4 linked regions of the Alligator mississippiensis genome follow. The protein of the gene in region 2 binds, or shares a complex with, the protein of the main gene of each other region. Links are inferred from orthologs where the notes say so. Each region holds a gene or a part of one and is shown on either strand. Other genes may lie near its edges. The genes, in order: TCTE1, DRC3, DRC1 and IQCG.

Region 1 (7,350 bases), on a different chromosome or scaffold from region 2:
TGTTTGCATGCACACTGCATTGCAGGGCCAGAGCAGAGGTTTGTGGCTTGCTAAAGCAGCCTGAACTATTAGTACTGCATCACTATTAGGCACAAGCAACTGTGCGCTCAAGCCTCATTTGGGTAAACTAGATATGTTCCCTTCTCAGAGTTTCACAGCACTGTCTCCCCTTTACCCTTCTGTTCTGTGTTCTGCCCTTATCAAAACCACTTCCTTGCAACAAGCAATTATTTGGTGCACACAAACACACTTAGAGTAATGCTAAGAAATTAAAGATGGAGAAGCCTAATCTACTACTCCCCTCTTCCTAGCTCGTCTCAAGAGCTGTGCTGCAATTGTTTCCTTATAATCATGGCCCCACCACCTGAACAAGACACTGGATCCATGTTATCGTAGATCCAGAGGTATTAGTTGGAAATAAGATTTCATATCAGTTAAGTTCAACTGATTGTATTCTACCCCCAAATGCCAATATGCCCAGAGATTTGCACTGACAATGAATCATAGAGGCTGGAGGGGTAGGGAACAGGGAGGAGTTAGCAGTCAGATGGAGAACTGCTTTCCTTTTTAACCTATGAAGAGGATAAGACTGAGGGTCTTGGTGCTGGGAAAGGGATGAATCACTTTTTCTCTCTACCCCATTCATAGTGAACCAGGCTTTTGCTCTGCATTAATAAGGCTGGATTTGGGGTCAGTGTCCACCACTGCCACTCACAGTATTGAGAACATGCATTAATGAGATGTTTCTGCAAGAACAACCAGTATCTAAATAATCAATACTGGCATGTAATTTGCTGTTGTTATTTTTCAGAGTTAACACATACCTGAGCTAAATGAGCCAGTGCATCCCTTGCTCAAAGACACTGTTTTATGTGCTGTGCAAATGTAGGGAGACACCACTACGTTGTTTACATTAGTGTCACAATCTGTAGGATTTTGGCAATCAGAGGGGCTAGAAGCCAATTGTTTAAATGGAAGCATGGACATTACAGCACAACTATGCAGCCAGGTCAAAAAGAGCATAGAGCTGCATAATTTCATGATACGTGGAGCTCTGCCTACAGTGTATTACCTGTGTAGTTTGACACGCCCCAAGAGACTACTCAAGTATTTGGGAAGCATCGTGGAAGAAACATTTTCCCCAATACACATTTTAAGTGCCCCTTTCCCCAATTTCATCTCATTACAGTTTGAGATATTTCTCAATCCCTCAAATAATCCCCTTCTCCTATTAGGTTTTATATCCTCCAGATACTTTGATTTTTGTTCAAAGAATCAAAATCCTCCAAATGGCAGTAGACAGACACTTGGCTTGCTGCTATGGCAAAGCTATATCTGTCTCAGGGCTTTTCCATCTTTCCTATCTGGTGACCCTGTGCTGTGGTAGAAAGTAGCTTGGGGAGTCCCCTGCCACCCATCTGTAGAAAAAAGAGAGGGTGGAGAAACTATGTTTTATTTCCCTCTCTTGCTCCTTCTGCAAAAGTCAGTCCTCCCTGGTTCCAAATCAGAGAAAGTAGATTGTGTTACTATGCACTGGCTCCTTTTTACAGACTGTTACTTATGCTGCCTTTTTGCTTAAAGGGGAAGCTGTCAAAGAGATTGAGCCCCAAATGTGACCTGTATCTTCCAACTACTCTGCTCTGGTGGGCAATGTCTTGTGGCATCTACTGATCCCTCTTGCTATGACATCTATCCCCATGACTGGTAATGAATGATCATTGAATGGATGAATCAATGAATGATCAGTATCACACAAGAACAGGCTTTAGGCATGGTGATTTTGTGAGGATTACTTAGTTAATAAGCCCTGTTCCACAGCCCTTACTTACACTAGCACCATTGACTTCAGTTAGCACTGGTGTGAATCAGGAACAACTCCACTGAGCTCAGTGTCAACGAAAGTACTTACCAGACTTCTCTGCTGCCTTTATCCTTGTCACCCAAGTACCTCCTAGCCCAGAAAATGTGTTCCAGAATCTGTAGGCTTCAGACCAATTTCTGTAAAGTACTTTAAGGGTGTCAAAATAAGGCACACTCCTGCTGAACAGGAGCTTGCCTCTGAAACAGTCCCATTAGTTTCACTGGAACTGTGTGTAGTGTAAGGGATTATTCACTGTGTGTAAGCATAGCCATATATAAAGCCTGAGTAAATTGCTATTGCAGTATTGCCAGCCCAAGCATTCAAAACCCAAAAGTCAGGCCTTTAAAAAAAATCATGAGATTAGCTAAAAATCATGCAATTTGAGATTCTTTTTAAGGTCTTTTTTTTAACCTTCTGGTTTCCTGGGCTGTTAAGGTCACATTTGCCATCTAACCTCCACAACCATGATGGACAACCCCCTTTTTTTCAACGATGAAAGTAGCTGGCACTATCAGAAAACACCAACTATCTTGGGATTTACAACATAATCAGGGGAGTTGGCAACATGATTATGCTTCCTCCTGCAGATAACCTATCTACTAGCCTGGTATATGTATTGCTCTGCTCTGTCCACACCAGCATTGAAAAAGAACATCAGTTTGAAAAAGCCACATTTCCATCTGAAATTTCAGGGTCTACAGGGACAAGAACAGAGGTGAAAGTAACATTTTCCTGGTTGTTTTCTTTGAATATGATAACACACAACATGCTATGGAAATTTCAGTGGTGTTGAGGGTTCAGCCTTTTCCCAATGTTCTGCAAGCAGGTTTTTATCACTAACAGCAGAACCAAAATTGAGCAGGGAACAGAGAAGGATGAAAAAGGAAACCCAAGGATGCTTGGCAGTGCTCTTGGACCTGCTCCAAAGTCTCCTCTAAACATTAGCAGCAGAGCGGGGAGAAGCAAAAAAAAACCCCTCAATATGATTATTAAGTTGTTGTTTTCCTCATGTCATTTAAAAGCAACTTGCAGAAAGTGTGAGGTTTTTAGAAAGAACCAGTTTCAGGAAATTCACACCACCCCAGCTCAGCAGGCTGGGGGATATAAAACCAGTCTGCTTCTGCAGACCATCACAACCAACTTCACACCCTCATGCTCCAAACCAGCAGTATCCAATGTGGTGGCCACTGGCACCATGGATAATACTTCCAAAAACAAAAAAAAAAACTAAGTAAAGGGAAGTTGCATTTTGAAGTTCTGGATCTAATGCAATTTTAAGTAATGGATGAGATGATCGGATTGATCTAAATTTTAAACTTTAATATTCATATTGGCGCGCACTGCTTTTTCTTTTAGATTTGAATGTGCCCTCGGGCACAAATGTTGGGAACCCCTGCTCCAAACCATCCACCATCTCACCCTCACATCCCCACCAAGTGGCGGGACACCTTTGGCAAGGGCTCCCCGTAGACCAGCCTACATTCCACCCTAATCCCACAAACCACTGCGGATCTGCACGAGCATGTATCTGGCAGGCTTTCCTGACTTCAACACCTGCCTCTTCTGTGCATAAAGTGAGACAGGGGCAAAGGCCTACTTCAAATACTGCAAGCTGAAGCCCTTCCACTGCTCCCCAGGAACCTGCCTGCTGCTCAGCTCCCTGCCCTGTGCTTCCTTCCTGATTTCTTGCTCTGCTTTCTTCTTTCTTGTGCTCCCTGCCCAATGTTGCTGCTTTCTGCTTCTTGCTCCTACCCTTCCTGTCTGACCTGCTGCTCTGCTTTCTGTCCTACCTGCTGCTCTGTCTTCTCCCCACCCCATGCTCCCTGCCTAACTGGTTGCTCTGCTTTCTGCTTCTTTCCCCACCCGCCCTTCCCTGAATCTGCTGCTCTGCTTTCTGCTCCCCGCCCAACCTCTTGCTCTGTTTATTGCATCTTTCCCTGCACTCCCTACTTGATCTGCTGCTCTGCTTCCTGCTCCTTGCCCTGTGCTCCCGGCCTGATCTGTTACTCTGCTTTCTGCTCCTTTTCTGATTTCTTGCTCTGCTTTCTGCTTCTTGCCCCCGCACCTCCTGGCTAGGGTGGCCGTCACAGAGGACATTCCCGTTTTCTGTACTCTGTCCTGTATTGTTATGAAACCAGATGGCTTTATGTCCTCTATTTTTCTCTTCAAGAGAAAAATTCCTGTGCTGCTGCTGGCCAATCCCACTACCCATCAGACCGAGGAGCTCCCCGTCAAGAGGAGCTCTCTCTCTTCAAGAGAAAAAGAGAGGACATGAAGGCGTCCGGTTTCGTACCAACAGAGAACACCTGGACTGTCCTTTACAATGGCCACCCTGTTCCTCCCTGCTCTGCTCCTTGCCCTCTGCTTCCTGCCTGAATGGTTGCTCCGCTTTCTGCTTCTTCCCCCTCCCCTCCAGACCTACTGCTCTGCTTTCTGCTCCCTGCCTGGTCTCTCGCTAAGCCGTGGCGGCGCTGGTGCTGATGCAAAGTCCAGGCCCGCCAGAGCTGCCCCGCGCGAAGGGGCGGTCCCGCCCCGCCCCGCCCCGCCCCAGCAACCCGCTGTTGCCTGGCAACCGCGGCCGGGCCGGGCAGGCGGCGCCGGGTGAGCGGGGCGGCTCCGGAGTGACTCCGGAATGGGGAGGGGGGGAGCGGGGCTGCCGCGTGCTTTCCTGGCTGTGATCTCCCAGTCCCAAAGCACCCGGCCGGCCGGCTGTGGTCCTGGCCCTGGCGCGCTTCCCACGGCCCGAAGTGCCTGGCGGGAGAGGCTCAGGGTGCGGCGGAGGGGTGCTTCCGTCTGTGCCCCCCTCACAGACACCTGCCTGAAGCGGGCTCTGGAGCCAGCCTCCCCCTGCGGACCGAAGGGGTGAGCCGGCAGCACCCACAGCCAAACACAGCTCTGGGCTGTGGAGCGGCCCCAGGGCTTTCTAGGGCAGGGATTTGCAGCTCTGATTTGCTGCCTGGGACCTAGAGCCAGGGACGCAGCAGGCCCTAGAGGTCCAGGCAGCCAGTCTGGGTGGATCCGGGGAGCTCGCGGCTCAAAGCCCTCCTGCTCCCCCACTTCCCCTCACCCGCTTTACAGAAATGTCTTCCCTTCTCTCCTCTCCTCCAGAGGCCCCTCTGCTCTGCACTGGTTATTTTCTCATCGGGAAACATGCGGGTTTGGGCTAGTAAAAGCTTCTGGATGGGGACTCTTGTTGCGCGCCTTGCCAGCTGGTTGGCAAATAACTTCACCTGAGTCGCCTGGTTAAGCAAGAAAGACCTGGTGCTCTCCTCCCAGCTTCCAGCAAGTATTTAACTAGCAGAGGCTGTGCTATCGTGAGGTCTCTATTACCATGATGTCATTGCTTTTTCAGATGATGCTATGGTCAATATACTAACATGCTGCATCACGTTACCTCAAATTCATTACTCTTAAACAGTGGTCCTCAGAAGTTGTGACAGAAGCTCATTCTATGATGCTTTAGGCTCGATTTTGTCAAGTTATGTTTGCTTGCTTTTTCGTTTGCTTTGTGTAGTAAGGCATTGGCCTCCTGTGATGACCAGCAGGTAGCAGGGTAGAGTTGCAGGGTAGTTTCACCTTAAAGACTAACTAAAGTAGTGATATATAGAGATCACAAGTCTATCTAGATAGATCTATCCATTTATCTACTTTGGTTAGTCTATAAGGTGAAAATCTACCTGGCCTTTTACCTGGCTTCAGGCTATTAACACAGATAATGACATCCGTGCTACTGACCAGCGCCACTTGGTGAGTTACTGTTGTATCCAAGTAGACAGAATGCTTTTAGATTGGAAGATCAGTTCTGCCTTGTTTACTTGTCAAAATTTAAGTCCAGGGCCTTACTTTGTTTTGTTTTGGGGTTGTTTTTTATTTTTTTATTTTATTAGGTTGAGTACACTGCTAACTTCCAAAACAGTATTTGTGTCTGCTTCAGGTGCTGGTAGTGTTAATGGGGGTTTTGCGTGAGAAACACAAAGTATGTGGGTTTGAGATTAAATCAAGAGCCTTTCGCCTTTAAGTATCCTGACACTCTCAGTCTGGAAAGGAACACCAGAAAGCAATTAGTGAGGAGATGAAGGAAGCATGTTCTGGCTGTTCAAGCACAGCCTTGGGATTTAGATCTATGGTCTGTTCACAGCATCATGATAGATTTCCTGTGTGTCCCTTCCCTCTCTGGACCTCACTTTTCCTGACTGGAAGACAAAGATATTTTGCTTACCTTACAATGAGTTATTTCTTGGAAAGTGCATTGAGATCTTTAGATGGAAGAAGCTAGAGAAGGATGAAATATTGTTTAATTTAGTAATTACTGAACAGTGACCTAACTCCCCATGCTTCTAGATATCAGAGAGGAGAAAGCTACTCCTAATTCAGGACTTTGGTGAGGCTTGGAAGTAGCTTTTTCCTTATTTCTCTCTATGTTGCTGTATAGGCCTATGTTGAATGTCTCTTTCCCACAGTTGCTGGCCCATTAGGTGGCCTTAGCCCAGATACGGATGCAGAATCTATTGAACTGTAACCATGCAGTGCTGATTGGCAAGTGTTGGTTGGTGGTCATTCCTTAGCTACTTTTGTGTTTATGAAATAATATTACAGCAGTGACCCCTACTAGCAGTGTCCAATATGATGACAGTGAATCACAGCACCTTAAGTGAAAGAAGTTCCAGGAGGTCATATTGTCCCTGGCACAGTTTAAATTGTACTGTTGACAGCAACAAACACATTCATGAACAGTTGGCATACCTAGTTTGACCCAGTTTTTTGGACCTAACATCTGTTTTTCCAATCTGGCTGTAGTTAGCACAGTTTCCTTGACCGGTGTGTATTTTTTTTCTTTACCCAAGAACCACTCTTGTAGGCTTTTCTTTTTAAGACTCTACAACAGACTTCCTAATGCAACTGTAACATCAATAAAAATGGGTGTCAGAATTGATAAGAATCCAATTGGTAAGAATTGATAAGAGTTCTTACCTGTGATAAGAATGCTTGACAGCGATCAGGACCTTTAGCCATTGTATCTAACCAAGCTGAGGGCAGACACAAATATAGTGTGTTAGTAATGAGACCTGCAGTTCAGCCAGTGTTTCCACCCATCTAGAGGAATGCTAGAAGAACTTCCTAAAATTCTGGGTAGACAGAGCCCAGATGGGGATACAAACTGTTAGGCTAAAAATTAGTTTTGAAACACTATTTTTCAAATATACTTTAAATATGCAAGCTCTACTGTAGACAGGGACTTTTGCTTACTTCTGTTTCTTGGACTAAATTATCGCCATCAGGGGTCCAATTCAAAGCCCACAGACTTCAGTAGGATTCTTTCCATTGACCTAGATGGGTTTTGGATAAAAAACAGAAGCAGGTGAACTATATGTTTGAGCATACCTTATTTACTCTGGACCTGAAGAACTAGAACAGCGGTTCCCAAAGTGTAGCCCATGAATCTCACTACTCCAAAGCCCCCTTTTAGGTATGAGTTTGATGATATGGGA
Region 2 (7,753 bases):
TCCAGTCAAGAGGGGGTTTACAGGAATTCACTACCAGGAGGGCCTTTGACCTTCACTTTGCTTTCCAACTAAGAGTGTGGCTGGGAGGAGGCAGCACTTTCTTCTGAAATTGCAGGTTGTTGCAGGGGACTAGCTGGCTTTGAATTGCTGCCCATTACGTTACAAAGTTACTCCATATTCTATAAATCCTTTCCCACTGTTCAGTTTATGCAGCTGTAGATGGAGAATAGGCCTGGGACCACTATAGGAATTAGAACTCAGGTTTTCTGCAGTTTATAATCTCCTGTTTGGAGTGCCGTCAGCTGTCACTGCATTTGCCTTTTTTTGAAAAAAAACCTACAGACCCAGGCACAGGCTGAAAGGATTATAACACAATGTTGGCACCATGTGGCATAGGAGACTCTTGGGTTCAACTGTCCAGTGGGCATCAGCTTAGAAGACAGGAGTGGAAACATAGAAGAAGAAAACCCCACAGCCATAGGCACTCGTCACAGACAAACAGGGCATGAGTTTTGCATGCTAAGCTTGCAATTGCATGGGCAAAATGTGCGTACAGTTGCGCATCACTTCCAAACAAATGCATGCATAAGTCAGTTCTGTGAGTGCCAATGAGCAGACTCGTTATCTGCTCACACAGTTATCTCACTAGCACACAATCACTACAATAGAAGGAGCAAATTAAAGATGCAGATTTGCACCTGCTTTCCTAAAAGAAAACAGGATCCTAATGGGATTGAAAGGCTGATCTGACAGCTCCAAAGACTCACATCCGATATCCATAACAGCAGGACAAACTGCTTCCATGTCACCCCTACCAATATACTGCAGACTGAACTGGGAGGTCACAAGCATGGGCAAGAGGGTAGTTCAGCTTCCTCTGCCCAATAACGAGCTTAGTGATCTAGTCGGGCCTTTCAACAAAGTTGGCAAATTGACCTGCTGTACTGCTGGCATCTTCTTTTAAGGTAGATACTTGCCCACTCAGAACTGGACAGAAATAGGGAGTCAGGACTCATCTGAAAATGAAAATTTGTTGCCATCACACTTTTGGATCAGACTGGGTTTTAGTGCAGTGGGGCCAAACTTGCACGTGGCCACAAGGTGCCACTGCTCCATAACTGTCAAACAAAAAAGTAATAATTAACAATGACATGAAGAGCTGCCAGGATCTGCAGCCTCTTACCAGGCAGCAAAGCCTTTTAACTCTCTCTGTTTGAAATCTTTTAGATGGCTAGGGCTAAAAATGTAAGTTAGAGTCAGTGCAACCAGTCTGAGCTTTACCATGATCATATCATTGACAATTAAAGCATTGTACTATTAACTTGTCCTAGAAAAAATCTGATACTTACTCCTAAAATCAAGCTGTAGTTCTGTGACATCCTTAAAATCAATGCCTTCCCTTTTGGCAAGCTGCCCTGCTTCTTCTTGAGGACCTTGCTCCTCAACAGCCTTTTGAAGCATCTCTTGATCGATCACATTTGGCTCAATGGTATCGTATATCCGGTTCATTTTCAGGCCTTTGAGAGAAGAGCAAACAATACTCATTACCCAGCTACTGTCTTCAGTGTTTACTGAACTGCATGTGACGTGCAAAGAAACAGTAGCAGAGTGGAGGACCCACAGGGTCTGATCCTGCACTGCTGAAGTCAAAGAGAGAGTTGCCTTTACCAAAAGATATGATGTTAACAAGTGCAAGTCAGGGCCAGCGCAGGGTGAAGTGCACAGGCAAGATACCACGTGCAGAACCCGTGTCAAGCTTAACTTGAACCAGATGACACCAAAGGCAGAGCGTTACAGCTCCCCACGGCCCTCCAAGCAGCCAAACAACCCTCCTCAACCCCCAGCCACGACCCCACAGGCCTCTCCTCCCTGCCTCCCACCCACCACCAGCCACCTTCTCCACCTGTAACGCAGCAGTGCACTGGCTTTTCCACGTAGCCTGTCACACAACCACTCGCCTGCCCACCCCGACCACGCAGCCGCTCTCAAGGGAACCAGTGACACTTAAGCAGCTTCTTAAATTTCTGGAGGCAATAAAATGCTCTGAACATGGGTGAAATGCAGATTGGATTGATCCTGCACCCCTGAAATCAACGGCAGCAAAATCAGACCTATTGAGATCAGCTCGGGAGCTCCTTCCCTCTTCAGGCCCGCCCGCTGGAAGCACCGCAAGATCTTCCTGTTTGGGCAAGCGCTTGGCGAGCTGAGATGCTGTTTGTGGGGGGAGGGTCTCCCCTTTAGGCTGATGCTTTAGTTCCCTGTTGCGTTGTTGTCTCGGTGTTCCCCTGTGGCATCAGCTATTCTGCTCTCTGAACGCCAGGTTAACGAAGAAAAAACAATCCGGCTCCTCTCCAGCCCCAGGGCACCTGCCCTACGCCCCCGGGTGTATTCGTGCTCCGCGCACAAGGACTAAAGGCTGACATCACACGGGGTCTTCATGTCTCGCTTTCATGTCACGGCTTCCCTGGGACCGTTCTGCGGTCGGACGCTCCGTGCTGCTCTCACGCTGCGCGACAGCTGCTCCCGCGGGGCCTCGGTTTCTAGCCAGAAGGACAAATTACATGAACATTGTTCTTTGATTACACGTCACGAGGAGAAACAAGGAGCTCGTCTCTCGCTGGAGTGCAGCGTTTTGGAGAAAGCTGCAAATAAATCAGTCGATCCATAGGTCTGCCCAGCCCGCCCAGCCCCCACTGCCCCCCCAGTACCCTGCCCTGCCCCCAGTACCCTGCCCCCAAGACCCTGCCCTCCCCCCAGTACCCTGCCCTGCCCCCCCAATACCCTGCCCCCCAATACCTTGTCCTCCTCCCAGTACCCTGCCCCTAATACCCTGCCCCCCAATACCTTGCCCTCCTCCCAGTACCCTGCCCCCAATACCCTGCCCTACCCCCCAGTACCCTGTCCCCCTCCCCTCACTGGGGCTCGCTGCTAAGGAAGCCTGCACGGTTGCTAAGCCAAGTCACGTGACGCCGGGCTGAGGGCGGGGCCTCCAGGCTCCCTCGTCACGTGCCGGTCCGCGCCCGCCAATCGCGGCTGGCCTCGGTGGGGAAGACAGGAGGGAGGGAAAAGGGGTGTGAAGCTCCGCCGCCAATCAGACCGCGAGGAAACCAAGTCGACCAATCAGAGTGGGCAGCGCGCCTGGTGGGCGGATTTTAAAGTGATTGGTGTGGCTGCCACCCAATAGAATCGGGGGAATGGGAGAGGTGCTGTCCATTGGCGAGGGGCGGCAGGAGCTCCCGCCTCCCCTTTGCGTCAGTCGAAAACGAAGGAGTCGCGCAGGGAGAGGGGCGGGGCTCTCTGATTGGCACGCTCTTCAGCCAACCCAGCGGGGCGAGCCTGCGGCATGGGCGGGGCCACGGGCGGTGCCGGCGGCTCGGATTGGGCGGCGCGGATGCCGCTCGGCGAGGGGCGGGGTCGGGGTTGCGGGCCGGGTCGGGCCGGCTGTTTGTTGTCATCCCAAGATGGAGTTTCTGCTGGGGAACCCGTTCAGCACCCCGGTGGGGCAGAGCCTGGGTGAGCGCGCCGCGCCGCGCCGGGGGGCAGGGGCCGCGCCGCGCCGCGCTGTCCCCGCGCCCGGCCGCATCGGGCCCTCGGGCCGCGCTGCGTGTGGGGGCGCCGTGGGTCGGGGTAGAGCGGGGGGGAGGGGCGCGAGCCAGCGCGTCGACCTGTGTGCGCGCGTGCATGTGTGCGGGCCTGTGCACACGAGTGTGCCACTGTGTGCGTGTCCGTGTCTCTGTCTGTGCACACTTGCATCTGTGGCTGTGTGTGTCTGTGTGCGTATGTGCATGTGTTTCTGTGCACACCTGCATCTGTGCCTGTGTCTGCACACGTGCAGGTGTGTAGGCGTGCCTGTGCGTGTGTGTGCATCTGACCTTGTTGTCTGTGCGTGTGTGTGCGCATCCGTGCGTGTATCAGTCTGTGTCTGTGGCGTGTGCCGCGAAGCAGCCGTGGTTGCGGTGAGCAGTGGACGCGGGGTGCAGCGCGCCGGCAGGCAAACGTCGGTGCGGTTTCATGGACGGGAGAGGGGAGCCCGCGCCCGCGCTGCGCCTCTTCTCTTTTGCTCCGAGCCGGGCCGCGCCGCGCGGAAGCAGGCGGGCGGGCGGGGGCCTTTCCGCCGGGCCGCGTGGGTATTGCGGAGGGCTAGCGCCGGCCCAGGCCCAGAGCGTCAGTGACGGCGGTGAAGCGCGCCTCCGGACGCGGGAGTGCCGGGTCACGTGCCAGCCGGGCGTGTGGTGTGTGGAAGTCGTTCCCACTTGGCTGTCAGCGCGGGGTTGATATGGCCAGCGATCATTTTCAGGCGCCGCGTCACAGAAATCGCCGCGTCTGTCACTGATTGAAAACCTCGGTGGCAGTGGACTGTAGGAGAGGGCGTGGGCTGCCGGACCCGGGACTGAGATACCTTCTCCCTAAACATCGTCCCTGCAGGGCTGGGCAAAGACACGTGGCCAGGGCACGATGGAGAAGCTCGCATGGGCACAGAAGTGTGTGACTTTTATGTGAACAAATGCTGCCCTGTTCCTCCTGGACCGATTCACAGCTGTAGGTCTCGTTAGCGAGCAGGGAGCACTATCACCATGTCACAGGTGGGGAAACTGAGGCGCGTGTGCCTAGGGTCACATGGCACAAGGTGCTGCTCAGTGAACGTAATGGTGAACAGGGGTTGCCAGCGTCCCCTCCAGGCTGTCAAATGACAACCAGGTGGTAGCCGTCCCTTGTAGATGCGTGTCCACCGGATTGTGCTGCCCCAGGACCTTGCTGGTTGAATCCCAGCACAGGACTGACTTGAAGATTTACCCTGAAACCTGGCGCAGAACGTGGCTGCGGACACACTTCATTGTGCTTTTGCCCAGCGACACGGTACCGTGTGCTCCTCGATCACGCTGGCGTCTGGTTCATTGCTCGATGCAGCCCAGACCCTTGGAGCTGAAGCTCCAAAGGGCTTCACCCCCGTGGCTCTCGCTGCCCCTGCCTTGCCCTGTGTTGTGCCGTGCAGCTGAGCGCAGCTACAACAGGGGAGCTTATCACCCCTTTTGCCCAGGGTTGGTGGCAAGGCATTTGGCAACGGGCCCCAGACTCTGCATGGGCATCTACTCATGACCTTCAAGAGCCTAACGGCATTGACCTTCAGAGAACAAACCCCGGCTTGTCTGTTTGCCCAGGCTGTTCTGAAGAGCATGGACCCAGTGGGTGGAGGGTCCCCGCTGTTGAGGCTGCAAAATGCTTTAGCACTGATGCATCTCTTCAGGCTCACGCGAGATCCTGCATGGGGAACTAGGCTTCTGTGATGGGTTCCCAGTGGAAATTGGGGGCAGAGTAGCACTGAGCAGAGAATAGGAAGAGCCTGGGAAAATGCACAGAGAGACGAGTCCTTTGTTCCCCTAGTGTCTGGAAGAGTCTGGCCTGGTGAGGACACGGCAGTTTCCAGCAGCAAGAGTCTGCCTGAGGGTCCACAGTCATCTCTGTAAATCACATTTTTATGGTTGCTTGCTCGAGGAAGCCATCTTTAAAGTGCGGCAGCTCAAAGGTTACTAAAACAAACATCCTTCCCACGTGTTACAGAGAGCGCTGGAGCTTATTCAGACCCATTGGATCACAGCGGGCTGAAGTACCGCCGACCTGTTAGCTCAGACTCGGGGTTGTTTGCACGTCATTGAACTTGCACCTGGGAAACTGGATAGCTGCTTTGAGTTCCTAGTTCTCTTGTGCGGCTGCTGCAGGGGAAGGTTTCCATCCAAATCAGGCCCTGCTACATTGAGTTTATAAATCCTTACAGTGCAAAGGATTGATGCCAGGCAGTGATCTGTAAAATGGGTCCCTTGGAGGTAGAACAAACAGTGAATGTGCATATTCCTCTTCTGGGAAAATGCATGCTCTGCTTAAATCATCGCAGTCTGAGGAAGCTTGGCTGTGACCCAAAGGCCTCAGGCTGCCAAGTCCAGGATAAGAACTAAGTGGCGTGATATAACCTACAACTTTCTCCCTAATGCTAACATCTTTTAGGAGGGAGGGGAGTTCCGGATCCAAGTCTCCAAAATTAATCGGGCATTGACAGAAATCAGCTGGCTTTTGTTTCTTTAGTAGCTGTCTCTCCAAAGGTTGGGTGCCTTTAAGGCCGGTGTCCGGGCCAAAATCACATGGCTTTGGCGACCTGTGAGTACGGATTGCAGGACTGGACCCTGGCGTCGGAGCCAGGTTGGATGAAAACTGCTGTGATTTGCAAAGGTGTATTCTTAAGGAAGCCACAAAAGCAGCGTTTCAGCAGAGGATACAGGGACACTTTATTGAAGTGATGGTGAAACCAGACAACCTTCCCATTGATTTTATCCAGGCACTTGTAGTTTCCATTTCAAGGCAGTTCAATCGATGCTAAATGTGATGCAGAGAGAATCTTGCTAGGGCTTTTTTTCGTAAAATGAAAAATTAGTGCCAGCTCTCTGACCCTTAATATCTTTTGGTTTCCTTTTCTGCATGGACAGCTCTTCAGGGCTTCCTGTAGATAGCTTCTAATGTATGTTTGATGAGTAAATGCACTAATAACTGTAAATGCAAGGAGAGGAGGCAATATTATGGCAGACATGCATTTTAAGGACCTAAAGAGACTAAACCTCATGTTCCACTGTCCAAAAGTCTCTAAATTTCTTTCCAAGTTAACTGGTGCAAACCCAAGAAAAACATACTTTTTAGAGGACTGACTTTCCCCAGGACAACACTGAGTGTTTAAACCGTCGCCGGGGAACCACTAAGCAAATGAGGACTGCAAACTTGCCTCAAGCTCTTTCAGCTCGAATGGGCTGTTCTGCTAGAAGAATCTTCCACACGTTTGGTTGTAACCAAAAATTTTCCAGCAGGAAGGCTGGTTCTTACACAGAACCACTGAAGTGCCTTGTACTCTTTGGAGGGTGGGTTGATCTGAATTGCAAGGCTGGAATAATTATTCTTACTGTCAGCATTTCAAATACAGGTGGGGTAATTTCGTGCAGCAAAATGAGAAGTTACCGACTAGCCCACAAAGAGTTAGGCAGGGAAACTGCTCTCTCTATAGGTATGGGAAATACACTGACATGGACTCGCCCGCTAGGTAGATGGTCCATACCTTGCCTTCCAGCGTTCATCTGCGTTCATGCCGGTTGAGCAAGCCTCAGTCTGATAAAGTGCTTTGAGTTTTATAAGATTATTTGGATCTGGCTTTCACTTCCTGAGAATGGATTATGCTAGAAAGAAAAATCTCCCTGCCATATGAAACGGGATATCCTGGCTTTGAAAGGAGCAAATAAATATGAGTCATAAATCTGCTAACTTGGGGAAACCACATGCATGTGTGAAGTTGGATAATTAGTATAATGCCATTTAATACTAGGTTCCTAAGACTGGATTTATTTCATAGGCACAAAAGCAGATTGTAGTTCAGGAAGGTATTAGACCCCGTATTTTTGAGTACTGCAATTTTATCTTGTGGCAGCACAGTGCACTTAAGTATATATTCGATTGGGTTCAAAATATAAATCTGTATGTGCCGGGTTGCAAGCAGAGGACAGCTGGTTCCCAGTATGCTGCTGCCCTCGTCGTTGACTCTGCAGATTTTGAAGGCATATATTTTGAGCACGCTAAATAATTAAAGGGCACACAAGGTGGGCTTTTTTTAACTGCTTCATCCTAAGCAATTTGCTCACGGTGCTTCTCCGTTCTTCCTCTGCGCGCTTGGAGCTGTGTGGCTGTTTCTTTGTGGAGCGCCGACTGAAGGCAAATTTCACGA
Region 3 (7,798 bases), on a different chromosome or scaffold from region 2:
GCCCCTGAGTGGCTGTGCAGACCAAGACTAAATTCCCTGTGTTAATGTGGAGTAACATGTCTACAAATGTGTTAATCTGCATTAACTAATCCTGCTTAAATTTGATACTTGGTTTGGGCAGGTATCAAATTTAGGCTCACATAGCATTAAAGGCACACACATGTAGACATGCACCCCTAATGCAGCTTAAATTGGCCTAATCTGCATTAAATGACCATATGTAGACATGCCCAATAATATCTAACATACAACCTTAAATTTCACTCAGGGCACATTTACACATGCATTTGATCTGGGCTCAGTTTAGTCAGGAGTAAATGTCTTCACATGAAATGCTCTGGGGCAGGACTAGGCAGCAGGTTTGCTGCTTTTAGGACCAAATTTGATGCAGCCCTGCAATAAGCCATTGCCGTCACCAGGAGAGCTCTCAGCTCTCCCTGGGTGCTGGTGCAAGGACTGCAAGGGAGCACCCAGCCAGGAGAGGGAGCACCCAGGACTGCGAGGGAGCACCCAGCCTTGGCCTGGATTGGGATGTTACACCCTCCATTACACCCTGCCCCTGGAGGGGGCTGCAGACTTCTGGAGTAGGAACAATATCCCCCTGCCTCACCAGCAGGCAGCTCCTGGCCCTGGCTCCCTGATCAGGGGCAGGGGACTTGGAAAGAGCTGCAGGGGAGGGTTAGGTCCCAGCCCCCTGCCTTGATCCACCAGTGGGGCAGCTAGCAGCTAGCTTGCTACTAGCTGCCCCAAGATGGGGGCAGGGGGCTGGGACCTAACCCATCCCTGCAACAAATTCCAAGCCCTGTGCACCCAGTTGGGGCATGGGGCTGGGACCTGCCCCTGACCAGGACAGTTCCCAGCTCCTGCTCTGCACACTGGGCAGAGGCTGGGGAGTTTGTTCACTGCCCAGCTGTGTGAGTATGGAGCTGGGGACCAGGCTGGGGGGCTTGTTCCATGCCTAGCTCCGTGAGCGTGGAGCAGGGCAGCAAACAGCCTTCCCAGCCCCCACCAGCAGGGAGCTCCCAGCACCAGCTCTGCATTGGAGATCTCCCAACACCAGCCCCATGGTTGCGTAGTTGGCACTGGGAGATAAAGTTCTTCTAGGCCCCTGCTTCCTGATCACCACCTTGGAGCAGGAGGGCTTGGAGCACCCTGCTGCCAGGTAATGAGGGCATAGCATAGTCCCCTCCCAGGCTCCTATGGCAGAGCCTGCCCCAGCAGTAGGCAGCATCTGGGGTCAGGGAGCAATCTGCCACCCCCTGGTGGACAGCTGGCTGGGAGTACATTTGCTCCCAGTCAGGTGTCTACATGAATGCTACTATGCTGTTACTAATCTTGAGTAAATTTGTGACTTGCATTTGCAGGTAGCAAATTTACTCCGTATTAGGGAGGTTTACTACATAGTAAACATGCACATGCTTGCTTACTTCACAGTAAATTATGCTACTGCACAGTTAAGCATCTCGTGTAGACACACCCTCAATGATCATTTTCTGAGTCTTATTGACTTCTGTATATCATTTTTTAGATTAAATCAATAATAGAGGTATGTGAATACAATTCCACACACTAGTAAAAAAATGTATTACGTTAAAATATTATATATTGCTGAATCATAACACTGGAATAAATTATATACAGATTAAGTGAGATGTTTCATTGATCCCCTGAAAAACTATATTTTAGTTTCAAGTGCATTCTTCATTATTTTTTTTCAGGTAAAGCTGAATGAAATTTGAAAATAAAAACAATGTTTTGAATTTAAAAATACAATAGTAAATATTTTTTTTAATTCTGAGAAGCGAACATGAATTTGTAACTTGTTTCAATGTCATTGAATCATCATTTTTTACTGGACAAAGAAAAGTCTGCTCCCACATGAGAGTCTGACATTGACAGGGTTTGGGTCTGTTCTCATGGTCCTAGTTCAGTAGCTTATGACAGTTTATTCAAAACCATGACATCATTGACCATATCCCTGCACTCACAGGTTAAACCATACCAATAAGATGGAGTCAGAAAACCAAACTTCTGTGACTGAGTTTATCATCCTGGGCCTCTCCAGCCATCGGGGCACTCAGCTCTGGCTTTTTGCACTCCTTTTAGGTATGTATGTCATCACTCTTGTGGGAAACATTGTTATCATTGTTACCATCCGGATAGACCCATGTCTTGATACTCCCATGTACTTCTTCCTTGGAAACCTGTCCTTCTTGGATATCTGCTACACATCCAGTGTGGTCCCCCAGATGCTGGTCCACTTCCTGGCCCAGCACAAAGCCATCTCTTTCAGCAGGTGCACAGCCCAACTCTATGTCTCCCTGTCACTAGGGAGCATTGAGTTTATCCTCCTGGCTGTTATGGCATATGATCGCTATGTGGCCATTTGCAACCCCCTCCATTACACTGTCACCATGAGCAGGAGGGTTTGTATCCAGCTGGCAGTGGCTTCATGGGCCAGTGGCTTTCTCAACTCCTTGGTGCAAACCACCTTTACCATGCGGCTGCCCTTCTGTGGCTTCAATATCATCAACCACTTTGCCTGTGAAGCTGTGGCACTCATCAAGATAGCCTGCTCTAACACCTATGTTAACGAGATCATTCTCATGATGGCCAGTGTCCTGATCCTCATCATCCCCTGCTCCTTCATCATCCTGTCCTACATCTACATCATTTCATCCATCCTGCGTATTTGCTCCTCAGAGGGCAGGTACAAGACCTTCTCCACTTGTACCTCCCACATCACTGTTGTGATGCTGTGCTATGGGACAGCCATCTTTGCCTACATGAGGCCCCGGGCCAGTGTGTCACCCAATCAAGACAAGATGTTTTCATTATTCTATGCTGTGGTCACTCCCATGCTGAATCCTGTCATATACAGCCTAAGGAATAAGGAAGTGAAGGAGGCCCTAGCCAAAGCCATGGGAAGTGGGCTGTCTTCTGAAAAAAGATAGATATTTCTGTCTCCTTCTAGATATTTTTCCTCTATAGTCATCAAGGAAGACAAAGGGAAGATGACATTCATGGAATATGACACTGGAGAATGATTATCATTAATAAATAGGCCCATTTACACACAGATGCAATTGTGGAACTGTCTGTCCAGAACTAAACTGAGTGTCCATAGAATTGAAAGGAAAAGTGTAAAATATCATTATATTGCAATTAAGTGTTGCTTCTCTACAAGCTCTTTTTGTAAACTCTGAGAAACACACCAGAATATATATTATCCTTTTACAAAACCCTCCTCACCTGTCTTGGTCTCCTTTTATTTACTGCAGGTAATTATATGGCTTTTCATATTTTCTAACAGATCTGGTCACCCATTTCCTCAGTTGCGTGCTCTAACCCAGGGATTGTCAACTGGGGGTATGCGTACCCCTGGGGGTACTTAGACCGGTCCTAGGGGGTATGCATGGGTGGCTGGGGACGGAGCACCGCCGCCTCCCAGGAGTGAGGACAGTGATGTCCCTCTGTGGGGTGGGGAAGCTCGCATGTGTTGGCCACCACTGCTACACACCAGCCTGGTGAGCTTCCCCACACTGCAGAGGGGCACCACCGCCCTCACCCCAGCCTAATGAGCTTCCCCGCCCTGCCCTGGCCCTGCTCCTGGGGGGTGGTGGTGGTACTCTGTCCCTGCCCGCCTACACAGTGTCCCCACCTCCATGCTCCGTGTCCAGCTGCGTACTCCCCCTCTACCCTCTGGTGTTCGGCCGTGCGCTGCCCCCCTCCTGTCCCCCTACTTGGCATCCGGCCACCGTGGGTACTTAGACTAAAAAAGGTTGAAAACCCCTTCCCTGATGAATGCCAGCTGCAGGGAGCACGGCTGGGAGCTAGGTGCCAACTCAGTGCTGCATGGGTGAATCCCCTGTCCCCCGGGCTCTGCACTGAGGCGGGTGCTCCCTTTGCATCCCCTGCACCCTGCCCTGGCACTGGGTGCAGATGACGCAGAATCTGGGTTTATGCATTTTTCCCAGCTCCACAGCCGCTGCTCCCTTTTGTGTCACCAGCAAAGGGCCAGGGGCTGGAGGAGGAGACAGCGGACAACAGAGAGAACAGGACAAGGGGCTTTCAGGAGCAGGGTCTGTTGGATGAAAGGGAGATGGATGGCATGCAGAGACAACTGTGGGTGCAGGGCCTGGAGGCGGTAGTGGTGGGAGGGGGGCCGGATGCAAAGCCAGCTTGGCTCCATATCGCCCAGGGCGGTCACCAAGATTTGCCCCCCCTAGGGAAGGCCCTGATGGCATAAGAACAGTGCGGAGGCCCCTGGGACCCCAGGCAATGTGTGGGGAGAGAAAAGGGAAGAGAGGGGAGGACGGAAGGAGAATATGGCCTGAGCAGGGCCTAGAGCATGTCTGAGTCTAGTTTCCTACTTGGGTGAAACAGCATCGACACACCTACAGGGTCTCTCTGCCCTCGTGGCCCGAAGATCCCCAGCAAGGGCGCGTGCACAGAAGTGACACGAGGGGCGAATGAAAAAGGCGTCATGCTCCACGTGGAGAGGCAGCAAGAATCACAGCGGGGTGCGGGGCTACATGTCCCAGGCAGCTGTGGGGAGCGGGGCAGGGGCATGGTGGCCACAGCAGGGGCAAGGGCAGGAGGTCGGGGCACGCGGAGGCTGGATCCACAGATCTCAGAGCCGGGTTCCCGAGGTGTCCTCGGGAGGCGGGAGGAAGAGGCCGCGGCAACCCAGCAGGAGGCGCGGGGCGGGGGCGGGGCTGTTCGGACACCCACTACCCCGCGCGCCGGGTCCTGCGCGTGCGCCGTTGCGCAGCGCCGCGGTTGCCTGGCAACGGGCGCGCAGGGCGGCGGCCATGAGCCGGGCCGAGGCATCGGCCGAGGCTGAGCCGCAGCAGGTCGCGAAGCCGTCGAGGCGCGCCCCGTCCGTGGGTGCCGGGGATGCCGAGGAGCGGGTCGCGGCACGGCGCCTCCGCATCGCGGCCCGGCAGGAGGCCAAGCGCCGGTGCGGGCGGGGGGCACCATCCGGGGAACGAGCCCCGCCCCCCCCGCCGAGACCTGGCCCCTCCCGCCGCAGCACCCGCCAGTGCCATGGGCGGGGGGCTGATGCCAGGGCTCCCCGACTGCGCTGCCCCCTCCCCCCCTCTACTGCCTTGGGCCCCCAAGACCCAGTGCCAGAAGGCAAAGGGGCCCCAGTCCATGCTGGATGGCAGTGGTCCAGGCTGGGCGGGCCTTGGCCCAGGGGTGGGAGTGTTGTGAGAGTGCTGACAGTCTTTCAGATCAGCAGTCCTGAAAACAGGCAGCGCGGGTGTCCCAGCAGACCGGCCTGCACAAGACCAACCTTCTTTCCTGCATGGGGTCGAAGGAGCAGGTGTCGCTGCGGACAAGCTGGGGAGCCGTCCGCAGAACAATCCACGCGGGCTGCCTTGGTTGGAGACTCCAACCAGACACGAGTGTATTCTGTAACCCCCCCCCCCCCAAGACCCCCTTTGGGTTGGTCTCCCACCCACATACTGAGATGTTTCAATCTTGTGGATTCATGGGCTTACAGGAGGCAAGGTGACTCAATAAGAGATCTGGCAGGGACAAGGAGATGATGTGTTATTAAAGCTTATGTCTCTACCCCCCACCAGGGAGGCCCTGGGAGAAGACCCAGATGCAAAGAAGGCTGAAGAAGAGGAGCAGAGCAGGAGCCATAAGCAGATTGAAGAGAGCAGACAGGTTAGGAGTAGGCTTTGCGGCCAGGGAAATGGGGTTGACAAGTCCATTAAGGACCATTGCTCCATGTACATGTGGCTTTGCAGTCCTGTTAACATAGCCTGACAGCTCAGGGTCAGCCAGTGGATATGTTCTGAAGGAGCACGGTTGCACACAGGTACTTGCTATGACCACCAGAGACTGATTCTTGAAATACTTTATAGGGAATTTCATTGTAACAAGCTTCTGTGCTACAGAAGATATCCGTGGGCCAGACCAAGCCTCTTTGCAGTCTGGATCTTCCCTGAAGGCTATAGATTGCTGACTTCTGTTCTAAAACATCTGATATTTTCTAACCTACTTGACTTCCTGAACTTCCTTGACTTCCTCCTGTTTCCAGCTGTGCAAACAGGGAGCCAACATGCAATATCTTGAGCTTTCAAGTACAGATCAGACCACGCTGTGTCCTGACCTCACAGCAAAGGAATGGTGAAGCTAGAGCCTGCAAGAGAGAGCTGAGAGTGGAGCTGTACTGCAAGAGCTGCATGTGGTTTGGGTGTGTTCAGTCTTTTCCTGAAAATAAACCAGTGTGATGCCATGATGATAAACTATGGTTGGGTGTGTGAATCCCTGCCAGGTGACATCCCAGATTCATACTTTTATTTAAGCACCTCAATATAAGCATAGGAACCAGCCTGTAGGGCAGGCAGATGTGGAAGTGCTGGCCATGGAGCCTTCCAAAGCATGTAATTCAGTCCATTTGGCCTCATGGTTGTTACGTCCCTTTCCTGTCCTTGCAGAGGCTGGCAAAGCTGCTCCTTGATGGCATGCAGCTAGTAACGAACATCCAGGTGGCTGCCGATGCCAGGGAGACACAGAGGAGGACTGAGGAGGCTGAGCTGAAGCGGCAGAGGTGAGAGTTTGTGTAGGTATGACAGGTGTTGGCTTTGGCATTCCCTGACACGGACATCTCAGAGCAAGGCAACCCGGTCTCTGATCAGTGGGAACTATGTTGGAGACTCCCAGGCATTGGAAAAATGCCCTTAATTGACCTAAAAGTAGAATGACCCCGGTTTGCCTGGGACAGTCCCAGATTTTGGAGGCTGGTCCTGGCCGGCTGGTGAAAATTAAAATGAGCATCCCTAGTGTGGGGCATGGGGGGAAAAGCTGCAGGAGCTGTGAAATAGGAAGCCTTAGTAGATAGCAAAATTGCCATAGAATAGGTTATTCTGATTAGTGGAATGACCATCAATGCTGACCTTGTGAAGGAACAGCTTGAGAGGCTGGATACCTTCAGGTCAGCCGGCCCTGACAATTTACACCCCAGAGTACTCAAGGAGCTGGCTAGCATCATAGCTCAGCCTCTGGCACAGATCTTCAAGAGCTTCTGGCGCGCTGGTGAAGTGCCCGATGATTGGAAGGAAGCCAGTGTAGTGCCTATCTTCAAAAAAGTGAGGAAAATGGATCCGGCAAACTACAAGGCCCATCAGCCTGACCTCTATCCTGGGGAAGGTCTTAGAAAAAATCATCAAGGAGGCCATTTTTAATGGACTGGCCGATGGCAACACCCTGAGGGACAGCCAGCACGGGTTTGTTGCGGGTAGGTCGTGCTTGACCAGTATCATTTCCTTTTATGACCAGGTGACCTATCACCTGGACAAGGGGGACGAGATTGATGTCATATATCTCGACTTTAAAAAAGCCTTTGATCTGGTATCCCATGATCACCTTTTGGCAAAACTGGCCAACTGCAGCCTCGGGTCTACCATGATCCGCTGGCTAGGGAATTGACTCTATGGTCAGACCCAGAGGGTGGTGGTTGATGGAAGTCAATCGTCATGGTACCCTGTGACCGGTGGGGTCCCTCAAGGCTCTGTCCTTGGACCTATTTTGTTCAACCTCTTCATTAATGATGTGGACATTGGAGTCAGAAGCGGACTGGCCAAGTTCGCCAATGATACCAAACTTTGGGGTAAAGCATGCACACCTGAGGACGGGGGTAATCCAGGCTGACCTTGACAGGCTCAGTAAATGAGTGGACGAGAACCTGATGGTGTTTAACACTGAAAAATGCAAGGTTCTCCACCTTGGGAGGAAAAACCTGCAGCATGTCTATAGGCTCGGCAGTGCTACACTGACTAGC
Region 4 (7,088 bases), on a different chromosome or scaffold from region 2:
AAGCTATTTCTGAAGGGACTACATGCATGCTGGGATCAAGAAATAGTGCTTTATTCACAAGGAAGTAAATATACTAGCATTCGCAATTAGGGGTGAATAAGGAAGCTTCCACAACAGGAGACATTTATAAACAGCTCTACTTCTCTCCATTAGAAACCTCCTTTTTTCCTCCAATGATTATCACTAAAAAGATGATAACGTTAAGAAGCAATTTGCTTTTTTTTAAAGTTCTTTATACACACACATTTCAAATGTCTAGAAAATAGATTCTATCACTTCATTGCATACATGATAATGCAGATTAATTGATTTTGGATCTTTGCTACAGTAACCAACTCTGTAATAAGAGATGTAACAAAAAAGTGCTGTACTGAAATGATTTTTTGCAGTTTCTATGGGGAAATGCAAGCCTGTTCCATGTGGACAGTGCAGGACTCCAGCATAATTCAGGACACTTGAAACCAATAGCTAAGAGTCCTAGAACTGTGCTTAATTGTATCGGAACAAATATTGTATAAAGCTTTCTTAGCATGGGTAATATTATAAGGTAAATCCTTTTGGACAACAGATTTAAAATGTCACCAGTATTTTCACAAGACAGTTTGTTCAAGATTTAAATCTGTAACTAACAGGGTAGATCTGATTTAAATCAAATGGATTTAAATAATGATTTAAATCACTGGCCAGGAAGCCTCAGTTTAATCACTGATTTCTACAAGAAGTGCACTGTTGTTGTTTGATATCCTTTATTCATTTAACTTCTTGAAACTTTCCATTTTTAGGGAGAGGTAAGGGCTTGACTGTGCATACCCGAACTAGCAGAGAGACAACAGGGCTGATGGGTGAGTAATCAGTAGTGGCGCGCGGATATATCTGTCTGTATTGGATCAGCACCGATAAAAGGAAAATTGACATTATTGGCAATCAGCTTTTTTTGGCTGGTGTAGCCAATAACATCATTGATAAATTCCACATGCATGTGCACAGCTGCACCATGCACACAGCCAGGAATGCAGCCCCGCAGCTTGGAGAGCAATGTCCTGCTGGTAAGTCTGTGTGGGGGGCAGATTGAGGCCCCCATAGTGAGAGAGAGACTGGGGTAGGTGATACCCAGCTGGGTTGAAGCATGGGACAGAGCTGTGGGTGGCTCTACAGGGGGGCATGGGAGGATGGGCAGCTCCCCACTGCTGCACACACCCTGGGGGAGGAAAGCGGGGTATGAGGCCCCCACTGGATTTGTGCACGGGGTGAGGGCGAGCTGCCTGTTGTGGGCTCAGGGGCTGTACCAGCCTCTTCCTGGGCATGGGGGGACGGGGGACACGACGACTATGGCCACCCCAAAAATTCACCATAGACCCCCACTCCCAGAACTGCCACTACCCACCTCAAGAGCAGCCCTGGCCCAGCACTCCCACCAAGAGGCCAACACAGGCCCCAGCCCCAAAGCAGGCAGCCCGCCCTTGCTCTGTGCACAAATCCAGGGAGCACATGCCCACCCTGCCTCCCCCGAGGGTGCACACCAGCAGCAGGGAGCCACCCATCCTCTGCTGGGCCACCCACAGCTCTGTCCTGTGTCCTGCCCTGGCTGGGCAATGCCTGTCCCATTCCCTCCCTCACCATGGGGGCTTTGAATTACACCCCCTCCACCAACAGACTTACCAGCTGGACGCTGCCAGGCTGCATATCAGCACTCAGAGCGGTATCAGCTGATATGGCCTTTGGTATTGACCAAATATTCCCATTAGTGGTACACTCCTAATAAAAGATATTGCATCTTCCCAAAGAACCGTGTCTGCCTGTGAACTCTGGAGAGACAAATTCACAGTCTGAGAACTGAAATGAAGCATCACAGAGACGTTTAATGGGATCTTCTGGACTGAGCGCTGAGTCGCACTGAGTAGAGTGGTTTTCTTTAATCTTTACTAATCTATAGATAAAGAAACCTCTTGGAACCCCATAAGATTGGGCCCCTAATATAGGCCACGGCTTGTTGTGACCTATTTATAAAACTTCTAAAAAGGTTGCACAAATACACAGGGTGTTTATATAAAGTCCTTGTGTAACTTTATAAACATGAATAACTTTGGATGTGCACGACAGAAGCAACCCAAAACGACATGCTTACACCACGCTAAAAACTTAATTATGGTTTCAATTGCTATTTACAGTTTGCTATAACAGACAAAGTTATTCAAGTTTAAAGTTGCACAAGAACTTTATAAACACCTGTATATTCATGTAACTTTTGCAGAAGCTTTATAATGCATCACAACAGGCTGGGGCCTATACTATGGGCCCAATCACTGGATCATAGACAGACACAGGAGGGACGCCAGACCACCTACTGTTAGCGCAGACTTAGTGAAGGGGCACTTAGAGGGGCTGGATGTGTTCAAATCAATGGGCCCAGATGATTTTCACTCAAGGGTGATGAGGGAATTGGCCTGTGTCATGGCAGAGCTGCTGGCACGGCTGTTCGAGCACTTGTGGTGCTCCGGTCACGTCCCAGAGGACTGGAAAAGGGCAATGTGGTCCCTATTTTCAAGAAGGGGAGGAAGGAGGAACAGGGAAACTAGGCCAGTTCGTCTCACCTCCATCCTTGGGAAAACTCTGGAAAAAATAACATTAAGGACCACATTTGTGGGAGCCCAGCAGGGGAATAATGCTGAAAGGAAACCAGCACCGGTTCACTGCCCAATTAACCTGGTTTCTTTTTATGACCAGGTCACAAAATGCATAGACGCAGGAGCTGAGGTAGATGTCATCTACCTAGACTTTAGGAAGGCCTTTGATACGGTATCTCGTTCTGTTCTGGTAAATAAACTGAGTGGCAGCGATGTAGATAATTGCACGGTCAGGTGGGTGACAGATTGGCTTATGGGGTCGCACCCAGACAGTGGTGGTGGACGGGTCGGTATCGACCTGGAAAGATGTGGGCAGCGGGGTCCTGCAAGGCTTGGTCCTTGCACCGGTGCTGTTCACGTCTTCATCGGTGACTGGGACGAGGGCGTGGAGAGCACCCTGTCCAAGTTCATAGCCAAATTATGAAGCAAAATGAACGCACCAGAGGGTAAGAAACAGATCCAGGCGGATCTGGACAGGTTGGAAAAACGGGCAGAACGAAACAGGACGCAGCTCAACAAAGACAAGCGCATCCGTGAATCCTACGTTGCTCTTACGCAGCTCCCAGAGCTGAAAGTTATTGAAATCGCACCCGGACTTTAGAAACACTCGTGTAACCTTTTTACAGGTTTGATAAATACGTCAGGACAGGCCGGGGACTATAACGGGGCCCAATTTTATGGGGCTCCTCTACAGACAAAAGTTATTAAAACTCAGAAACACCCCGTGTCCTCGTGCGACATCTTTACACGCTCAGGAAATGCGTCAGGACAGGCTGCGGACTGTATCTGAGGCCCAATCTCGAGGCTCGTCTACAGATTAAAGTCACCCGAGCTGCACTGGGAGTTTAGACGTGCCCGCATCATCTCTAGGAGTTTATAATTAGATATCACAATAATTATGAATAATAATAATTCCTATTCCACGATATTTTGGAGCTTTTACAGATCTTCAACGAAAACGATCTTTATAGCAAATGAAAGCATCTTAGCCATAAAAAAGTGATTAAATTTTAAACCAAAATATCTTATTTCAGTGAACACCCCGTTGGTTCCCCCCCCGGTAACCGGCGCGGTGCAGCCGCCTGGGCCCCGCGAGTGGCTCCGGGCCGCGCGGCTCGGGCAGGGCTCTCACCTCCCGGACATGGCGGCGCGGCGCTGGTCCCGGCGGCCTGCAACCAGAGACGTGGTGTGAGCACCGCGGAGCCGGCTCCGCACCATCCGCCGCGCATCGGCGCCATCCCGCGGCCCCCGCCCCCGGCCCCCCGCAGCCCGCGGCCCGCCCGGCTCGCCCGCCGCCCCCCGGCACCCCTCGCTCCGCGCCCGCGGCCCGCGCCGCGCCGCCGCGCTCCCCTCACCCTGCCGCTCCGCTCCAAGATGGCGGCGAAAGAGGAGGCCGCGGCGCGCGGCACGCCGGGATAGCCGCGCGCAGGGCCCCTGAGGCGTCCGCGTCGCGCCTGACGGGGCCGCGCGCAGAGCAGGCGGCACCGGGGCAGCCTCTGAGAAGGACCCCGGAGCGTCGGCGTCGCCATGGAGACCGGGCCGCTGCCGCCGGCCGCCGCCGCGTGAGTGTCGCTGTGGTGATTGCCGCCTCCTTGTGCGGGGGGGTCCTCGGGGGGGGGCTTGTCGTCAGCAACCGTGTCACTGCCGCGGTCGTCCGCAGCGCGACAGTGATGCCGGTGTCCATGACAACCACTAACGGCTGCCATTCATGATTAGCATCTGGTCGGACGCTGTCAGTTAGTGGCAGTTGCTGTCGTCATCGCCATTACCGCCACGGTCCTGGCTGCTGCCCTCCAGTCTTGTCCTTAGTACCATCCGTTTCCACTGGTTTCACCACTGGCGTTGTTTCGAGGTCGAAACAGCAAAATCGAAACGGAACAGATATGGTCGAAACAGCCTCGAAACGGAAACGAAACGTGTTGCCGTTTCGATGCCGTTTCGCCCAGAGGAGATAATGGGGAAGGTCAAAACAGCCTATAACTTTGTCGTTTCTGGCCAGATTGGGATAAAACTTGCACAAGTGGTAGTCCCTTCTGAGGGCGTGATGCGTGCCACGTTTCCAGAAGATCGGTGCGGGGGGTTCGGAGAAACGGCACCCCAAATTCTTGAGAGCCAAGCTTGTGTCGTGTGTATGTGTTAAGCCGCGGCAGGCGACAGCTGCAGGGAGGGTGGCCCCTGCTGCGGACACGACGCCTGCTGGCTGTCGAGGAGACCAGTGCGGGGGAACTGCACCCCAGCTGCTGACTGGGAAACCTTGTGCCGTGCTAGGAGTAATGGTCGCAGTCGGGACACCCTAGTTGTGAGGTAGTTTTTCCTAATGTTGAGCCTGAAACGAGTCTGAATCGATCTCCCAGGAGTTTGTGACCATTGCTCCTAGTTTTCCCCTGTCTCTAGTGGGTTATGGAATAGAGAAAATCCCACACAATTTACTGATTCGTTTTGATGCACTGGCTGGGGCACGATTTTACAATGATTACACACTTAATTCATACAACACAATTTTATTTTAAAATTCTTTGCGACGCATATAACACTGCTTAGCTTAGAAATACCACAAACATTAAGAACACAATAATTACATATATCAGAAACAATGCTCCGAATGCACTTCCTTCCCAAACAATGCTGTAAGAATTAGTATTACAAAAACAACTACAATTACAACTAAAAGTTAAATTTGAATCAATACTGTTATTTTCAAAATATACTTACAATCCTAGAATTCCGAGAAGCCAAACACCTAAATACAGTTTCATTCCTCAGTAGTACAATTTAATGGGTTGGCCTCAGTCGTACGGTTCAATGGGCTCGCCTCAGTAGTACGATTCAATGGGCTGGCCTCAATACTGATAGGACTAAGTCCCCTGCCTTCAGTCCCTTTTGGGCGCTCTGCCCAAAGGGGAGTACATCTAGGGCTCGGTGAACAACTGTTCACCAGGGCACCCTTGGGGATGTCATATTGAATGAAATAGTTTGAATGTTTGTAATGGTTGCCCATTAGCCAGTTTCAGGAAGAAGATAAGATTTATCTCCTTATCTAGCTCATTGATCAGACTGATCACCTGAACCACCCCCTCTGTGAACACGAATCTTTTAGTTCACGCTGAAGCTGCAGAGCGCTGACTTCGTTAGGCTTTCCGAAGCGGTTCGGAAAAGCTTCAGAGCCGTTTTGGAGATCCAGCCATAGGGTATAATGGGGAATCATCCCTGCAGCTTTCACCCCGCTGCGCCTTAACACACACAGGGTCACCCATGTCATGAGTTTTGCCTGTCAGCAGTCAGAGGTGCAGGGCCCCAGAAGCCAGACTCCCCCTGCACCGATCTCCTTGACAGCTGGCAGGCTTCGTGGCCTCACTAGGGGCCACGACCCCTGCAGTTTTCAGCCCGCTGCACCTTAACACACACAGGGTCATCTGTGTCACGAGTTTTGCTTGTCCGCAGCTTGAGGTGCAGTTCCCTCCCCAAACCCCTGCACCTATCACCTTGAAACTTGGCAGGCTTTGTGGCCTCACCAAGGGCTACCATCCGGCAGTTTTGACTCCACTGTGGCTCAACGCATACACGACATGAGTTTTGCTTTCAGGAATTTGGGGTGCAGTTCCCCCTGAACCCCTGCACTGATCTTCTTGAAACATGGCAGGATTTGCTGCCTCACCAGGGGCTAGCATCCCTGCAGCTTTGACCCCACTGTGTCTTAACGCATACACGTGGCGTGCGTTTTGCTCTCAAGATTTTGGCGTGCAGTTTCTCCAAACCCCCTACACCTATCTCCTTGAAACTTGGCACGCATCATGCCCTCAGAAGCAGCTACCATTTCTGCAAGTTTCATCCAAATCTGGCCAGAAATGACAAAGTTATAGTCTGTTTCGACCTTCCCCATTATATCCTATGGGTGAAACATCGAAACAGGGTTGAAACGGCAAAACGTTTTGACAGAATGAAACGGAACAGCCGTTTCAACTTGAAACAAAAGTCAAAATGAAACACTGTTCTGTCGAAACGTTGAAACGCTGATCAAAACGAAACGCTTCTGTTTCACACAGCTCTAATTTCCAATATTGTTATTATTAGTGATGATCATAATTGTGATCACTGTTACTATCCTTTTTGCTAGCATCCATTATTGTAATTATTACAATCAATTACAACTTATTTCCAATATATTATTAACAATTATCTATTATAATCATGATCGCTTGCTTTCCATATTGCTACCATCAAGTATTGTAATTATTATACTAAAGTCCAGCTTATTTCCAGTATTATTATTATCAATGATCTATTATCGTAATCATGACCACTGTTACTATCCTTATTGCTGCCATCCATTATTGTAATTATTATAATCAATTTTGACTTATTTCCAATATTATTGTTATCTATTATCGCAATCATGATCACTATTACTATCCCTATTGCTACCATCTGTTATTGTAATTCATTATTATAATCAATCACTACTTA

The links.
Region 1: DRC3 (region 2) and TCTE1 share a complex: the UniProt entries of both Homo sapiens proteins name them as parts of the nexin-dynein regulatory complex. The link is inferred for Alligator mississippiensis from reciprocal best matches to the Homo sapiens genes DRC3 and DRC5.
Region 3: DRC3 (region 2) and DRC1 share a complex: the UniProt entries of both Homo sapiens proteins name them as parts of the nexin-dynein regulatory complex. The link is inferred for Alligator mississippiensis from reciprocal best matches to the Homo sapiens genes DRC3 and DRC1.
Region 4: DRC3 (region 2) and IQCG share a complex: the UniProt entries of both Homo sapiens proteins name them as parts of the nexin-dynein regulatory complex. The link is inferred for Alligator mississippiensis from reciprocal best matches to the Homo sapiens genes DRC3 and DRC9.

The regions. Positions count from the first base shown.
Region 1 is NC_081824.1:169,864,312-169,871,661, reverse strand, and holds the start of TCTE1 (dynein regulatory complex subunit 5), read left to right. Parts: upstream 1-4,346; 5' UTR 4,347-4,462; intron 4,463-4,514; exon of another isoform or gene 4,515-4,723; intron 4,724-4,847; exon of another isoform or gene 4,848-5,608; intron 5,609-6,080; exon of another isoform or gene 6,081-6,133; intron 6,134-6,832; exon of another isoform or gene 6,833-6,888; intron 6,889-7,108; exon of another isoform or gene 7,109-7,190; intron 7,191-7,350. UniProt on the Homo sapiens protein: Component of the nexin-dynein regulatory complex (N-DRC) a key regulator of ciliary/flagellar motility which maintains the alignment and integrity of the distal axoneme and regulates microtubule sliding in motile axonemes.
Region 2 is NC_081836.1:54,857,310-54,865,062, reverse strand, and holds the start of DRC3 (dynein regulatory complex subunit 3), read right to left. Parts: upstream 3,001-7,753; 5' UTR 2,917-3,000; exon of another isoform or gene 2,898-2,916; intron 2,541-2,897; 5' UTR 2,112-2,540; intron 1,518-2,111; 5' UTR 1,510-1,517; coding exon 1,350-1,509; intron 1-1,349. Other genes in the region: TOM1L2 (TOM1-like protein 2), read left to right, coding at 3,462-3,513. UniProt on the Homo sapiens protein: Component of the nexin-dynein regulatory complex (N-DRC) a key regulator of ciliary/flagellar motility which maintains the alignment and integrity of the distal axoneme and regulates microtubule sliding in motile axonemes.
Region 3 is NC_081828.1:76,329,375-76,337,172, forward strand, and holds the start of DRC1 (dynein regulatory complex protein 1), read left to right. Parts: upstream 1-4,780; 5' UTR 4,781-4,814; coding exon 4,815-4,963; intron 4,964-5,591; coding exon 5,592-5,679; intron 5,680-6,455; coding exon 6,456-6,568; intron 6,569-7,798. Other genes in the region: olfactory receptor 2F1, read left to right, coding at 2,010-2,954. UniProt on the Homo sapiens protein: Component of the nexin-dynein regulatory complex (N-DRC) a key regulator of ciliary/flagellar motility which maintains the alignment and integrity of the distal axoneme and regulates microtubule sliding in motile axonemes.
Region 4 is NC_081830.1:85,493,553-85,500,640, forward strand, and holds the start of IQCG (dynein regulatory complex protein 9), read left to right. Parts: upstream 1-4,084; 5' UTR 4,085-4,151; coding exon 4,152-4,186; intron 4,187-7,088. Other genes in the region: RPL35A (large ribosomal subunit protein eL33), read right to left, coding at 3,757-3,767. UniProt on the Homo sapiens protein: Component of the nexin-dynein regulatory complex (N-DRC), a key regulator of ciliary/flagellar motility which maintains the alignment and integrity of the distal axoneme and regulates microtubule sliding in motile axonemes.